2 linked regions of the Medicago truncatula genome follow. The protein of the gene in region 2 interacts with the protein of the main gene of each other region in a pairwise test. Links are inferred from orthologs where the notes say so. Each region holds a gene or a part of one and is shown on either strand. Other genes may lie near its edges.

What was found.
Region 1: the proteins of probable WRKY transcription factor 21 (region 2) and 6,7-dimethyl-8-ribityllumazine synthase, chloroplastic interact in binary tests that used the Arabidopsis thaliana proteins (3 or more experiments, as listed by UniProt). The link is inferred for Medicago truncatula from reciprocal best matches to the Arabidopsis thaliana genes WRKY21 and COS1.

Annotation. Positions count from the first base shown.
Region 1 is NC_053045.1:46,659,815-46,667,400, forward strand, and holds the start of 6,7-dimethyl-8-ribityllumazine synthase, chloroplastic, read right to left. Parts: upstream 3,011-7,586; 5' UTR 2,859-3,010; intron 2,751-2,858; 5' UTR 2,732-2,750; coding exon 2,578-2,731; intron 2,017-2,577; coding exon 1,901-2,016; intron 679-1,900; coding exon 583-678; intron 1-582. UniProt on the Arabidopsis thaliana protein: Catalyzes the formation of 6,7-dimethyl-8-ribityllumazine by condensation of 5-amino-6-(D-ribitylamino)uracil with 3,4-dihydroxy-2-butanone 4-phosphate. This is the penultimate step in the biosynthesis of riboflavin.
Region 2 is NC_053042.1:35,168,781-35,176,637, forward strand, and holds probable WRKY transcription factor 21, read right to left. Parts: upstream 3,178-7,857; 5' UTR 2,931-3,177; intron 2,509-2,930; exon of another isoform or gene 2,505-2,508; 5' UTR 2,489-2,504; coding exon 1,677-2,488; intron 1,576-1,676; coding exon 1,450-1,575; intron 817-1,449; coding exon 672-816; 3' UTR 391-671; downstream 1-390.

The sequences.
Region 1 (7,586 bases), on a different chromosome or scaffold from region 2:
CTTCATCTAGTTGGTTACCAGTACAAAAAAAACTGTTAGTTTGAGATTCCAATAGTTAGTTTAATATATTAGATGGTTAGTTTCTGCTGCATGACACATAGCAATGCACTCCTTGTTACACCTGTATTTTTCTCTATAATCCATATAGATGTACTACTTCAGTATTTTCAGAATGAATGAAAAGACATTTTTCTCTTCATGCCGTGATCATAGAAGCAACTGTCAAGTGATGGATATGTATGAGAGCAGGGGAAAAGGAAAAGCTATGCATAATTTTGTTTTACTTCATATTTCAATATAAGCAAGGCAGTGAACACCTTGATGCATCATGAACAGAAAAATGAGTAATAAAATATAAGTTATCAGAATCCAAACGGTAGAATACAATCATTGTAAATTCTTCAAAAAAGAAAATAGAACCATTGTAATAACGTCTGAAACAGTTAACATTAAGTCCACATGGTACTGCCGAATACAAAAGTAATATAGCATATAGATTATTAATAAGTCATTTTCCATTAACATATAAGACAGATTACTGTTGTTAAAAAAAAAGAGAGAGATACAAGACAGATTACTTACATCAACGTCTTCATCTTGAACCGAATAATTCTTGAAAGTACCCAAAGCTCCCTCCAAGAGTGGCCTAGTGATTATTTCATTAAACCGTGCAACAACCTAAAAGAAAAGTGTTTAGAAAGAAACTAGCAAAGAAACATAAAACGATAAGAAAATCTTCATGATTATAATCCATTTTTAAATAGAAAATAAATGAAAAATCTGGAAGCAGAATATGATAACTTCCTCAAGGTAGACATTTTAAGTTATTTCACTACTTCATATCTCCACCTTTTTTGTTTATCCACTACGTATAGCAATCCCATTAGCAACTTCCTTGCAGTACAAAATCCTCTCATGTCTGGAAAACGGGATTTGGGCACTAGACTCTGTTGGAGTTTCAACATTCATTCTCCAAAAAGACAACACAACTTTATTATTGGAATTCAACTCTAGAAGGCCAGACCCAAGATTCCCTCTAACACAAAACCATTTATATGGCTAGTTGTACTTAATAGTAATAATACAAATGATTGTTACAGGTTAGTAGACCACACAAAGCTCTCTCTCCCCTAAATCCCGTGTTGTGACCATAATAAGATATTTGTGGTGCATAATTTTCAGTATTTTGGAAGAAAACTAGAATTGTCCAAACATTTGGATCAATTTTTTATCTGCCACTTAAAAGGTTTGGCAGGATGAAAGATAGAAAATCCTTTGGTGATGCGTAACTTGTTCTTTAGTTTGATGACTATAATTGGAAAGAAGGCCAGAACTTCAACGATAATTTCATAGCATTGTTGCTTCTATGGAACAAAGTGGTCTTCCCGAAATTTATGTGGTGCTTGGCTTCTATGCTTGATGAGTATTTTAGAGGGTACTTTTTGTCAAATGCATAGAGATTGGCGTGCTTGCTGCTCTCAGACATCATATTTGAATGCAATGAATTTCCCATAAATCAACTAAAAGTAACATGGAAATCCTAAGTTCAAGACATGTACATCATTCATATTGGTAGTGTGGTCTGTTTTTTGCTTTCTGTTCCTAACTTTACGCAAGCATTTGGAAAAGCTTATTTAACCTCGTCACATGAATAAGCATTTGAACTAGTGTTTGAATACACTTATAAAAACAACATAAGACATAGCATATACCCTTTTTAGCTTATTTCAACAACTTCCCCATAATAGCTTATTAAATGAGTGCTTTTATCTAAACACACCCTATTTGTATTCTTATCGAAATTTAAAAAGCAGGGAAATAATATAAGACTCAAAAAGGCTAGTGTTTGTCAAAAGCATTGCATGAAATAGATAAGCATCAAATTTTGTAGCATACTTACGATGGCAAAACGAAGTCCCTCCGTTCTAGTAACAGAACCTGTCAGATGCTTCACAGCATCTGTTTGTGCAAAAGATGATCGGCCCTTGCTCTGAGCGTGTGGCTTAACTTCTAAAGCTATATAAGGAAAGCAGTGAAATGTTCAGCCACTAAATAAAACATTATCAAAGCAAGAAAAGAAATTGCCACAGTAAGGAGCATGATAAAACATGCTGAAAATATATTTACCATTCATGAACAACAATGATTATCACAGTATTAAGGCTCTGTTTGGCAAGACAGTTTTTTAGCTTATAAGCTCGTATGATCAAAATAGACCAATTTGGTAACAATTTTTTGCCGCGAGCTTGTAGTTTCTTTTATATAGTTTATAGCTTTTTTTATAAGCTACTTCAAGTAGTGTTTGAGCTTATAGCTTATAACTTATTTCATTCTCAATTTTACCCGTTGGTATTTTATTTGGAAAAATATATATATCTATTAATTAAAAGGGTTAAATATTTTTTTAGTCCTTAAATTTTGCGCCTCTTTGAAGAATAGTCTATACATTTCATTAAATGTTTTTAAAATCCTCAAATTTTATCTCCGTTATCAACTAGTTCAACTTCAATTAATAACACAGCATATTCAATTCACTAAGTTAACGAACTTCAATTTATCAGCTATCAAATAGCTTACCTCGCATAGAAAGCGAAAAGGAGAGGGAAGTGGCGGTTTTAGGAGCTTTTTGAAGATTGAAGAAGTTAGTAGGAGCAGCAATACGATGTTGGGGATGATGATGAACAAATCCAAGTGCGGGAAGGAAACAATCGGTGGAAACAGATAAAGCCATTGATGATAGAACAGTGTACCTAGAATGAACGAAGGAACACAATGAATATGTAATGTTGAATTAAAATAGTGGAAATGCTTAATCGATGTAATCAAAATTATTAGAAAAGAATAAGAAGATTTCTCACCGGAAATGGAGATGCAACTGTTGAAGCGTTTGACTCTGATTGATTGAGATGAAGAAGAAGGACTGAACTGAAAAGGATTATATATAGTAGCCCCAAGGGAACTCCAATGGCAAGCTGCACGCACCATCAATTAACCAATGTATTTACAAATAAGTTGCGACGCCGAGTTTGATAACGCAAGCTTATGACCTAACTAAAGTTTAAGATATTGAAAGGTCTTTGATGTGTGCAAAAAAAATCAAGTTGTGGTGAAAGTTGAATCGACAATTTACGGGGTGAATCTTCCTCAAACAAAAAAAAAAACGTTATGAGTGAATCATCTTTTACCAATTTAATCGAATATAAACATGTATTAATTCTTACTTTTATTGGAAACTGAAAATAGTAAAAAATAAGTCATGTCGAAAGAAAGGAAAAAAAAATTGAGATTAATGGTTAGACGAAATTTTTAGATGTTTGTTTTCTCCTCATATATTCGATTTAAAATCTTTTATTTATTACGATATTTTTTTAAAAAATTTACAGAAACAGCCAATCCTAATATTTTATCAACAAAAGTTTTATTCTGTGCGATATAAAAAAAAAATTGAGAGGATCAAGAAAAGTTTTATTAATGATTTCTTTTTAAAGAAAAAAGTTTTTGTATTAGAGTTTTTTTTTTTAAGTAAGTTTTAGTATTAAAGATGTGAAGCACGTTTTTATTTTGACAAAAGATGCGTGCATGTTGCAGAGGTTAAATCTTAACGATGAAATTTCCTTAAAAAAACCGATGAAAACTCCTTAAAAATTAGTAACCAAAAAAAAAACTCCTTAAAAATTAAATAAATTTAAAAAAGGGCATGTGACGTGGTTTTTTGGACTAATTGAGGCATGGAACATTTTATTATTTTACAGGGCAAAAAGGCATGAACCATGATAGCTTAACTAACACAAGAAAATATTTGAATAGATACTTAAACAACAATGAATTGATCAATTGAAGCATAATGTTCATTTTTTATTGTTCAAAACAAATTGAAGCATAATTTTTTTTTTAGGGAAAAATTGAAGCATAATGTTGAGTATAAATGAGATAACATATACACCGACTCATTCATTGGTTGAACGCATTGAAATCGTACCTTTTAACTTCTTCTTTTTTTAGCAAAGTAAAATTTAGTGCATTTCATTCATAAATAAAGAGTACATGGTAGATGGTACATCATTGAAAACATAGAGGCTAGGGTGAGATAAGGATGCTCTAGCAATACTATGAGCAACCTTATTAGCTTGCTTCTTAACAAACGACACTCAATAGTATACGTTCGGATATTATATTTGTTGGTGATTGTTGTTATAAGAGGTAACCCTGATAGGTTATGTTTGTGGTATCCTCCGTTTGATCATATCAAGAAAAACTTACCGTGTGGAAGATAACACATACACCAACTTGTTCCTTGGTTGAACACGTTGAAATCCAACTTTTTAACTTATCAAGAGCACATGTATAAATATTATGTTTGGTATAAGAGTCTTTCTTTAGGAAATCGACGGGTTCTTCTTAGATTTATCTTGTTATTGTTACTTGACTACTCCCTCTGTTTCACAATAACTGTTGTTTAAGATTTTGACACATGGATTAAGAAATAGAATTAAATAATTAATAGACATAACACTTTTACTAAATCACCCTTACTTTATTAGAGAAAGACACACTTAAAGTTACCTTGAAAATTGTGAGAGAAAAGTTGGAGTATTTATTGAGGTTAAAGTTGAAAAAATAAATTAAAGTTGAATTGAAAATGTAAAGTGACACTCATTATAAAACGTGGGGAGTAATTTATTTCATTCTTTGTTCTTTTTAACTGATTTTTATGGAAGTAGGGGTGAGGAAGCTAGAAAAATTTATTGGATAAAGTGGAGTAAGGTGTGTCTTGTCGGAGTAGACGTGGTTTAAGGGTGCATATAGCTTGAGGGCTAAATCATTTTTATGTTAGGTAAATAATGTTGGAAGTTGCATGTGGATTAAGGAGTTTGTAGTGTATGGTTTAAATGGCGAGTTGCGATATGGAGGGTGGTCAAGTGAAAGAAGGGGAGTAAGGCGTTGATGTGGTGGAACAATGTTATTTTGCATAAGAGGGGGTAGGATTGGAGGTTGGTAATCTGATTGACGAAAACTTAGTGAGCAATGAGGTTATTTCACTTTTTTGGTTTGATAAGTAGTTTATGGCAAGACTTTTATGTGATAGATTTAAAAAACTTTTTGAGTTAGCCGAGAATCACTTTGTATCAGTTGAAAAGACATGTATATTTGGCTGCAGCGGGGAGGGTGTTGAGGGAAGGTCGAGTAGGAGGTTTCATGCTTATGAGGAAGATAATGTGGAATAATATTGTTCTTTGTTGTATAACATTTTTTGTAGGACAATGTGTCGGAAAAGTGGAATTAGAAACTTGACTTCGACGAAAGATGCTCTGTCAAAGGAGTATATCATGCGTTGACTCGTATGAAGATTAGTGATTGTAACGCCCTATTTCTATTAAAGTGATAAAATACGCGAATGATATAAATATTCAAGAAATAGTCGTCACGTCAATCACAAAATCCAAAATAACATGCATGTGTAAAATTCTTAACAGTCACGGCGGATAAAGATCATACATCTCAAAGGTATACATGTCATGATATAAAAAAATATCTCAATATAAAAATTCTCCAAATCCCGACAAGTGGGGAAACTTCCAACACATAAATAGTCCGCAACAGATAATTTAGATAATCATAAACAGACACCTAGAGTCTATCCTAGACTCTAAGAAACCGATACCGGAGATAGCTCCCGATATTCGACCAAGCACCAAGCAACTCACCGAAGCAACTAACCCTGCACGTCGTCTACCCATCCATACAGACAGGTAGGCGGTCAAAACCACTGGGGGTAAGCTTTACATCAATCATAATCAATAAAATAGATTTGAGCATATATGAATTAAAGTCAATTCCGAGTATTTCACATAAACAGTTAATTCAATATACACATTCACATAACAATTTCAAATATCATGATCAAGTATTCACCAAGCACACTTATCATCAACAATTATCATTCACAATCTCATCACAATCTTCAACAATTATCATTCACATGCAACAATTACAACTCATGTTAATTATGCAATGCGCCTAATTCCGACACATATATGCATGTGGTACCAAATAACAACAACAAGATGCCAACCGCACATCTTATGTAAGAGTACACCTCATCTTACGCACAACTATGTAAAAGTACACCTCCTTTTACATTTCACATATGACATGATATGACAATGATGCATGGACATAAGCAAAGACCCAATAATGCAAACTACTCAACATACAACAACACAATGTAAAAGTACACCTCCAATTACATTGCTCAACTTCAACAACAATTGCATTATCAAGCATTTACATCCACACAATCAACATGCCATTATTCAATTAAGAGTCATCACCAAATATCACAAATTCATCAACATGTATTCATTAATCCACTTCAACTATATCATATAGTTCAACAACTTCATACAACTTTTCATAATACAAGTAAAGGAGGAAAATACAACACCTAATGATAAATATCATATTTAAGACCTCACAATTACTCACATATCTTCATTCAATCGTATCAAACTAATCTCAAAATATTATAAGGTATTTGGCTCAAAGAATCATTTTTGATAAAGTCTGTCTCAAGTGGCAAACAGCCAACATTGATAATTCCCAAAATAAAGTAACTTATTCAAGTTTGAAGACTCACAACTCAATCTTAATCAATTATGTAATCAAGAGCTTAAGTCACTTACAATATTAGACATTAGTTCAGAGTATAGCTTAAGTTCGTATGAGAAAACCCAAGTTCACATTTTCCTCATTCCCACCTGAAATATCAAGTTTAGCATGATTAAGATGTTTGACCAAGATTACAAGTCTTGTCTAAGTCTATATGAACTGTAGACCCAACTTATAATCCCATTTAGTTCACAAAAGTTCATTCCGACAAAAATCTGAAATTCCCAAAAATTCAAGTTTCAATCTTAAAACATGTTCCAATAGATTTAGGAGTTCAAACAGTAGTTAAACAAGTTGAAAGAAGCATTTTACAAAGTTCGGATTGGCTCCCTAAAGTCCGGAACGAAAATCAAAGGTTGCTGAAACTGAGCATGTTCGCTTAAGCGACCACCTTGTTTGCTTAAGCGAACAAAGTTCCAGAAGCTACAACAAAAGTTCGCTTCCGGTTCGCTTAAGCGAACCAGTCACAAAACCTACTGTGATTGTTCGCTTACTCGTTCGCTTAAGCGAACAGTCATAATTCTGCAGAAAAATATTACGGGTTTCAACCCTTTTTCACCCAAAATTCCCAATTTTGATCTCCCAATGCCCAAATATGTTTCCAAAGTTTGTTTACAGGTCAAAACAACTAAAACACATCAAACATGAAAACAATTGCCATATGAACATAATTCACCAAATCAACCCATTTTTACAAAACCAACAACAACAACAACTTATTTCTCATCGTCAAATCATGATTTATGAACACCCAAGCCATGAATCATCAACAACAATATTCCTTAACAACAACAACATCAATTAAACATGATTCTCATCATAATTGAACAACAACATCGCATAATTCAACAATTTGAGCACAATTCACAATATAACATTTTCACATACTATGAACATGCAATTTCACCAACAACAAT
Region 2 (7,857 bases):
TCTCGTGATTTTGAATCCCCCTAACCGCAGTCTGTTCACTAACGATGTGTTTGTTTCCATTATAGTCACCTGAAACGCGCATTCACATACATATTTTAATCCTTCACAGCCGCTGCATCGTGAAGCAGCAATAATATATCCTTGTATGTCACACCTCTACAAAAGGAAGCTTCACATTGAATGTGCAGCAATAACACTATAGAAAGTATGTTTTCCAAACGCAACAACTAGCTTAAGCTGTTTTAACACCCAAAGATAACCATACTATGTATATGCCACTTAGATTATGTGATACTTATAGTTACTAGAATCAATTGCTGTGATGTATCACTACGACAATCAATTTGCTAGAGCCTTGATTCGAAAAACAAAATTGAAAGAACTCAGCCATTTTCCAAAGACAATTTCCATTAATTTAGAGAACCCTGAAATGTTTAATGACATACTTAAGAAAAATAAAATTGTTCTTACGAATTGAAACTATCCAATTTTACATACTCCTGCACTTAACCAGTGATCTTCATCACTCCCTCTAAATAAACGACTCCCCAACCAAGCTACCCAAAAGGCAAAATCTGCAGTCCTGCTCGCATCACTTGAAATATGTACAGAAACATCTCAAGCCAATCACATAGAGGTCTTCACAAATTGAATGTGACTCTCCATGTAGTTCATGCATTTGCAGGTTGTGTTGGTACCTTGGCGTGATTATGCTCGCCTTCATAGGTAACCATTAGCATAGTAGGCTCATCCAAGCACCTCTCAACATGCTTCCTAGCAGGGCAGCCTCTCATGCTGCTGCATTTATAATAGCCCCTGAAGAAACAAAATTAAGAGATTACAATCAGTTTCATCACACATAAAACTTGTAGAGTTGTAGTTCACATTTCACCTTCATTTAATTGACAATAATGTGCAAATAATGAAGCATAAATTTTGCTACTAAGGTTAAGATTGAGTTTACACCTAGAATATCAAAATTGCCAAATTGATTTCTCAAACATGTTTTCAAGTTAAAAAAAAGGGGCTATTGAACAAATGGAACTGTCAATATGATATTTGTAATGAAAAAATGAAGAGCTACAAGTTGACAGTGCATAAAAACATTCAAGGACCTTCTCAACGACTTAAATTCTATACAACGTACTCATCAACCAGAATACCAACTAAGAACAAATTACAAACATGGACAAAGGAATATATTAGCAGAACTCCAATCAACATATTACATATCCACACATAGACCAAAATTATTTAAATCCCCACAGGCTAGTACATCAATCAGATCATGTCAACATACTTTAAGATAAAATCATAAATGTACACCAAGCAGCGTAACGAAATAGTTCAGAAGTTTTATAAAATTATTGTTTATCACAACACATTCATATTTATTTGCTCCTTGAATCAATAAAATTAAATCTCAAATGGCACAACGGTTGGGCATACCTAGGGTGAGGAGAGCCCTTGATAGGCTTCTGCCCGTACTTCCTCCACGAGTAATCATCAGGAGGGATATCCGCAAGCTTGTTGCTGATAGCAGGCACCTTAATTGATCTCTTCACTCTATGCTTCCTGTCAAGAACACATAAAGTTATTAATATGATATTATAATGGTTTCTTAAACCTTTAAAGTAACAGAAATTAACCATTAATGTAGCAACCATAAGAATTACCTTTTCTTTGAGCAATGACATTTAGAACTGCTACTACATTTCAAGCTTCCCTCATCACCTCTAGCAGAACATTTCCTCTTGTGCTGTGAATTCTGATCTGAAGAGATCGGAGCTCCTATCAAATGGAAGGAACTTCCATCAACGTTTGCTACGCTTCCGTCTATGCTCAAGGAGGAAATGAAAGACCTAGTAGACGACATTGTTGGTGTGCTGCTAGTAGCCTTGTCAAAATTAAGGCTTATGCCGCTGGTGTTCCTTCGGAACATCATTTCAGCTTGATGCTTCATTTGTTGCTGCTGTTGCTGCTGCTGCATCAACAACCTTTGTTGCTGCAGCTGCTGCTGGTGATGATGCTGTTGCTGCGGCTGATAGAATTGATAGTGAGTTGATGCAGCTTGTTGAGCAAGGTGAAGCGGACTTTTCCCGTTCGAACTCAATTCCAAAGAAGGGTTTCCAAGAGAAAGTGGATTTCTTAGGGTTGAACCAAGTTCCTGAACTGAATTTTGAGGATAGGTAGTTTGAGTAAAGTGAACATTTTTGGTGTGATGGTTGATGATGTTTCTTTTGCAATTTGGGTTGTCTAAGAAAGCAGTTTGAGGATAAGGAACATTTTGAAGATTTTTAAGCTTCCTAACTCTTGAATGATCCAAACCATGAAGCAAAGACACAACTTTCTTGAACCTATTCACAGCTTCACCAGTTTCAACAGTTAAATTCCTATGATGAACTTGATCCCTTGGTTGAGACAACATACTTAGAACTCTATGACAGCTTTCAACAGCTGTTCTGCTTGCTTGTTCAACTTCTTCCATTTTAGCCTCTCTCTTTCTATCTATAACAAAATTCAGAAAATAAAAATATTTAAAAAAAAAAAAAAAACTAAGTCCCTAAATCAAAAGAAGAACACACCAAAACACAAAGAAAGCATCTCATTTATCCACAAATATATCAGACATTGATTCTCATGTGGAAGATAAAAATACCCAGATGAAAAAAATCCCATTTTTCACCAGACAATGAACCGCAAAAATAGGATTTTTATTTTTAGTTAAAGTTACAAAATTTCAGTTCATAAGAAGATAAAGGTTGAATTTTTTTTTGAAACAAAAAAGACCCATGAATCAGAATCAACTAATAGTGCCTTTCAACATTACATTAAAAAGACCAAAGATAAAAAATAAAAAAAAATAAAAAAAGACCCAATTTTCATGTGACAAAAAAAACCAACAAAAAAATATCAAAGTGCAGACAAACCTTGATGAACTTGTGTTGTCAAACCCTAGAATCTTGTTGCTGTTGTTGTTGTTGATGTTTCCATGGGTTTGAGATTGAAGGTGTGAAGAGAGGACTTTGGTTTCTTTGAGAATTCACACAACCATCACACACACACACACACACACATAAGAATACAAAGGTTCTAACTTTAGACTAAAAACATTTATAAATAAAAGTCCTAAGAAACAAGCAAAAAATAAAACAATTTTATATTTGTAGCTATACTCTAGTGAGAGAGAGAGAGAGGGGAAAAAAAGATGAGTTAAGAGTTTAAATAAGAAAAAAACACACACAAGAAGAGAGAGAGAGAGAGAGCATGAGAAACAGCTTGAGAAATGAAACTGCTGTCTCTGTCACAGATTTGAAGGTGGGACCGACATGAAGACCTTTGTTATTCTTTTTCTTCCCTTGTTTCAGCTTTAATTAATATTTTTTTAGACCTACCCATTTCAGCTTCACTTTTACTACTTTTACTTCTTGATTCAATTTATTACACTGTGTTTCTGATTTTTTTTATTGGTTTGAAATTTTGGATTTACCTTCCTTAAAAAAAAAATAGTTTTGGATTTACCTTATATGATGTGTTCTTTCAATGTTCAAAAGTAAGTTTATCTTGACTGGAGTAAACTAGTAAACTGGTTAAGTTTAATTTCTTTCACAAAATTTTGAATGGGCTAAGGTTAATTTTTTTAATCAATTTTAAATATAAAGTAAAAAGTCGAATGTATTTAATATGAATTTTGAACCAACCGTATTTTTTTTTATAACAAAAGAGTGCATGCATTTTTATTTAAACTTTTCTAATTAGTATTTTAGAAATTGGCTAAATATAGTGATTTTGTTCATCTATGTATTATGTGCTGTAAACGCGTTTAAAATCGGTTACACGCATGTATTTCAGTGAGATGAATGTGAGTTCAAAAATTTATTAGGTTAAATACACGCGTTTAAAATCTGTCATATACGCCACAAAGTAATGAATGCGGGTTCAAAATTTTATGAAATTGAGCCGACGCACTTAAAACCTGTTACATAGGTCACTATGTACAGTCAAATATATTTAACCCGATTTTGAACCAAAGACATTTGATTTTTTCCCGTATATCTATAACAAAAGAGATTATGAATTCTTATTTAACCTTCTCTGTTTTATATTGTAAGAATTGGCTAAATATTGGTAGTAATGCCTAACATATACTAGTGAATTTTTTTTCCTCCATGTATTATATGTATTTCAATGAGTTGAAAACACGCGTTATAAATCTACCATATACGCCACAAAGTAATGAATGCGGGTTCAAAATTTTATGAAATTGAGCCGACGCGCTTAAAACCTGTTACATAGATCACTGCAGACAGTCAAATATATTTAACCTAAATTTCGAACCAAATACATTTGATTTTTTCCCGTATAATTATAACAAAAGAGATTATGAATTTTTATTTAAACTTTGCTATTTAATGTTGTAAGAATTGGCTAAATATTAGTAGTCATGCCTAGCATACCACTGAATTTTTTCCTCCATGTATTATGTGTATGTGAAGGCGTTTAAAATCGGTTACATGTATTTCAGTGAGATGAATGCGAGTTCAAAATTTATTATGTTGAAAACACGCATTTAAAATCTTCCATATACGCCACAATGTAATGAATATGGGTTCAAAATTTTATGAAATTGAGCCAACGCGCCTAAAACCTGTTACACATGTCACTGTAAATAGTCAGATATATTTAGTCCAAATTTCGAACCAAATACATTTGATTTTTCCCCGTATATTTATAACAAAGGAGATTATAAATTCTTATTTAAACTTCTCTTTTTAATATTGTAAGAATTGGCTAAATATTGGTAGTCATGCCTTTCATATACTAGTGAATAATTTTTTCTATGAACACGTTTAAAATCGGTTACATGTATTTCAGTGAGATGTACGTGAGTTCAAAAAATTATTATGTTGAATACACGCGTTCAAAATATGGGTTCAAAATTTTATGAAATTGTGCTAGCGCGCTTAAAACTTGTTACATAGGTCACCGTAAATAGTCAAATATATTTAGTCCGAATTTAAACTAAATACATTTGATTTTCCCCCGTATATTTATAACAAAAGAGATTATGCATTCCTATTTAAACTTCTCTATTTAGTATTTTAGAAATTGGTAAAATATTAGTAGTCATGTTTAGCCAAACTATTAAATTTGTTTCCAAGTATTATATGTTTGTGAATGTGTTTAAAACCATTTACATATATTTCAGTGAGATGAATGTGAGTTCAAAACTTTGTGGCGTGTTCAATACCTATCACATACATCAGTGTGTAATGGATGTGGATTCAAAATTTTGTGAAATTGAACCAACACACTTAAAATCATAGGTCATTGTAAATAGTCAAATATATTTAGACCGAATTTCAAACAAAATACATTTGATATTTCTTTTTATATTTATAGCCAAATATAGTATGAATTCTTATTTAAACTTTTAATATTTTAGAAATTGGTAAAATAGTAATAGTCATGCTTAGCCTATACTATTGAATTTTTTTCAAGTATTATTTGTTTGTGAATACGTTTTAAAACGGTTATATATTTTTCAGTGAGATGAATGTGCAAATCGAGATTGGATCCTCTCCTTTCCCCTCATTGTCTCTTTCTCCCTCCTTCATCAAGTTATGTCTATCTCTCACTTGATATCCCCCCCCCCCCCCCCTCTCTCTCAAATCCATGAACGTGAGCTCATAAATTTGTGACATTGCATTCATGCGTTGAAAATTTGTCACATATGTCATTGTGTAATGAATCTGGGTTCAAAATTTTGTGAAATTGAACCAACATGCTTAAAGTATGTTACATTTTTTTTTAGAGCCGCGTAAAGTATGTTACATGCATCACGATATAATGAATGTAAATTCAAAAAATTTGTGAAACTAAATCAACACATACATAAACATGTTGATAGGTTGTGATTGTATAGGATTACAATTAAGGTTGTAATTTCTTAAGTTATCATTGTTTGATTGTTCGACGAGTTTGATATAAGAAATAATCTTGATCTTGTCTATTTTCAAAGAAGTATGGCCTGACTTAGACTTGAAGTGTATAGGATTACAATTAAGGTTGTGATTTCTTAAGTTATTATTGTTTGATATAAAAGATAATCTTCATCTTGTCTATTTTCAAAGAAGTATGGCCTGACTTAGACTTGATGTAGACTAATGTAGTCAACTTAGCCTATTGATGGACTTATTTGACAAATGTACTAAATGCATCGTCAAATAATAATATATGTAGAGATTCATATCCACATGAATTGTTGTTTCTAATAGGCAATTAAACTATGTTTATTTAAAAATTAAAATGGAGGTGTTTGCATTCATAGTTGGTTTGCAGATCAAATTAAATAAATACTTAATTCAGAATGATGACAGGAGCTTAAGATGGTTTGAATCCTCTTTATGTTCCTGCTTGGTAATGCTAGGTCCTAAACAAAAAAATAATTTGATACCTTTGCTCATGACAATTTAAAAAATAGACCAAGATCAAATTCTTGGTTCAAGGTACGGTTTCTATAATATAAAACTCTAATTTCTTAGGTGAAATTGATATTATCAAAAGTTTGATTAAGCGTTAATATATTAGCCGCACTAATTAATTCCCTATATCTATATAAATTAGTTAGAGAACATTGTGCCTAGTTCCGGTTACAAGACCTAGTGGTAATAATGAATTACAACATAAAATTAAGGCTAAAATATGGTTTTAGTCCCTGTAAATATGCCTCGTTTTGGTTTTAGTCCCTGGTAAAAAAATAATTTGTTTTTGGTCCCTGCAAAATTTTTTGTTTTTGAAAATAGTCCCTGACCCCACTTTTGTGATGATTTGCATACGTGACACATTATAACTGAACCAATTTTATAGTTTTTGGTCCCTGCAAAATATTTTATTTTTAAAAAAGGTCCCTGCAAAATTTTTTGTTTTTGAAAATAGTCCCTGGAGGGACTATTTTCAAAAACAAAAAATTTTACAGGGACCAAAAACAATTTTTTTTTTACCAGGGACTAAAACAAAAACGAGGCATATTTGCAGGGACTAAAACCATATTTTAAGCTAAAATCAATTAGAGTTTATCATGCAATGAAAGCATATAACCACAAGGTATAATGAAGAAGCATAGTTCAAATTACCTTAACAGAGGACTTATAGATTATATGGTTCAAACAATATCATACAAGTTCATCATTAAATCTAAATCTAATGAGTTTAGCTACTTATCATATTAATAAACAACATAATCAAAAGGTTAAAGAGCTACACACACAAATAGAATAGCAAAGGTCTTCAATCTTGTTGACAAGGGATGGAAATTTCCACTTTAGGTCAATGACATCACACTTTATGTCTATGGATCGTCAAAATTTGAAACCCTTCTATTTAGGCGAGTGCTTGCTTAAGTAAATCGGATTTTACATTATACATGCGCACCCCGTACAACATCACACGCGTTGCGCGTCTCGCTAAATGATAAATGTGCATGTTGCACACAAAAGCACGCATGTCGTGCACATGATTGAGGCTAACACATTTGAACTATGTTTCATTTTGCACGTTGCTCACTAGACTTACAAGCGGGACACATGCGTTTGAGACTCCTTACACTTTACAACTTCGCTCTTCATGAAAAAATAACCTTTGTCATGTGATCGAGACATAATTTCCCCAAGTTTCTTGGACTTCATCTCTTTATTATGATTGGTATACCTTTGCAACATCCACAAGGTATCTTCTAATCGGATCAAACCATTGGTCTATACTAAAAAGACTATAATACCATATTGAGTCGTGTGATTAGTGAAATACAAGACTCACTATAACATTAATATTTATGATGCAGTTATATTAATAAAT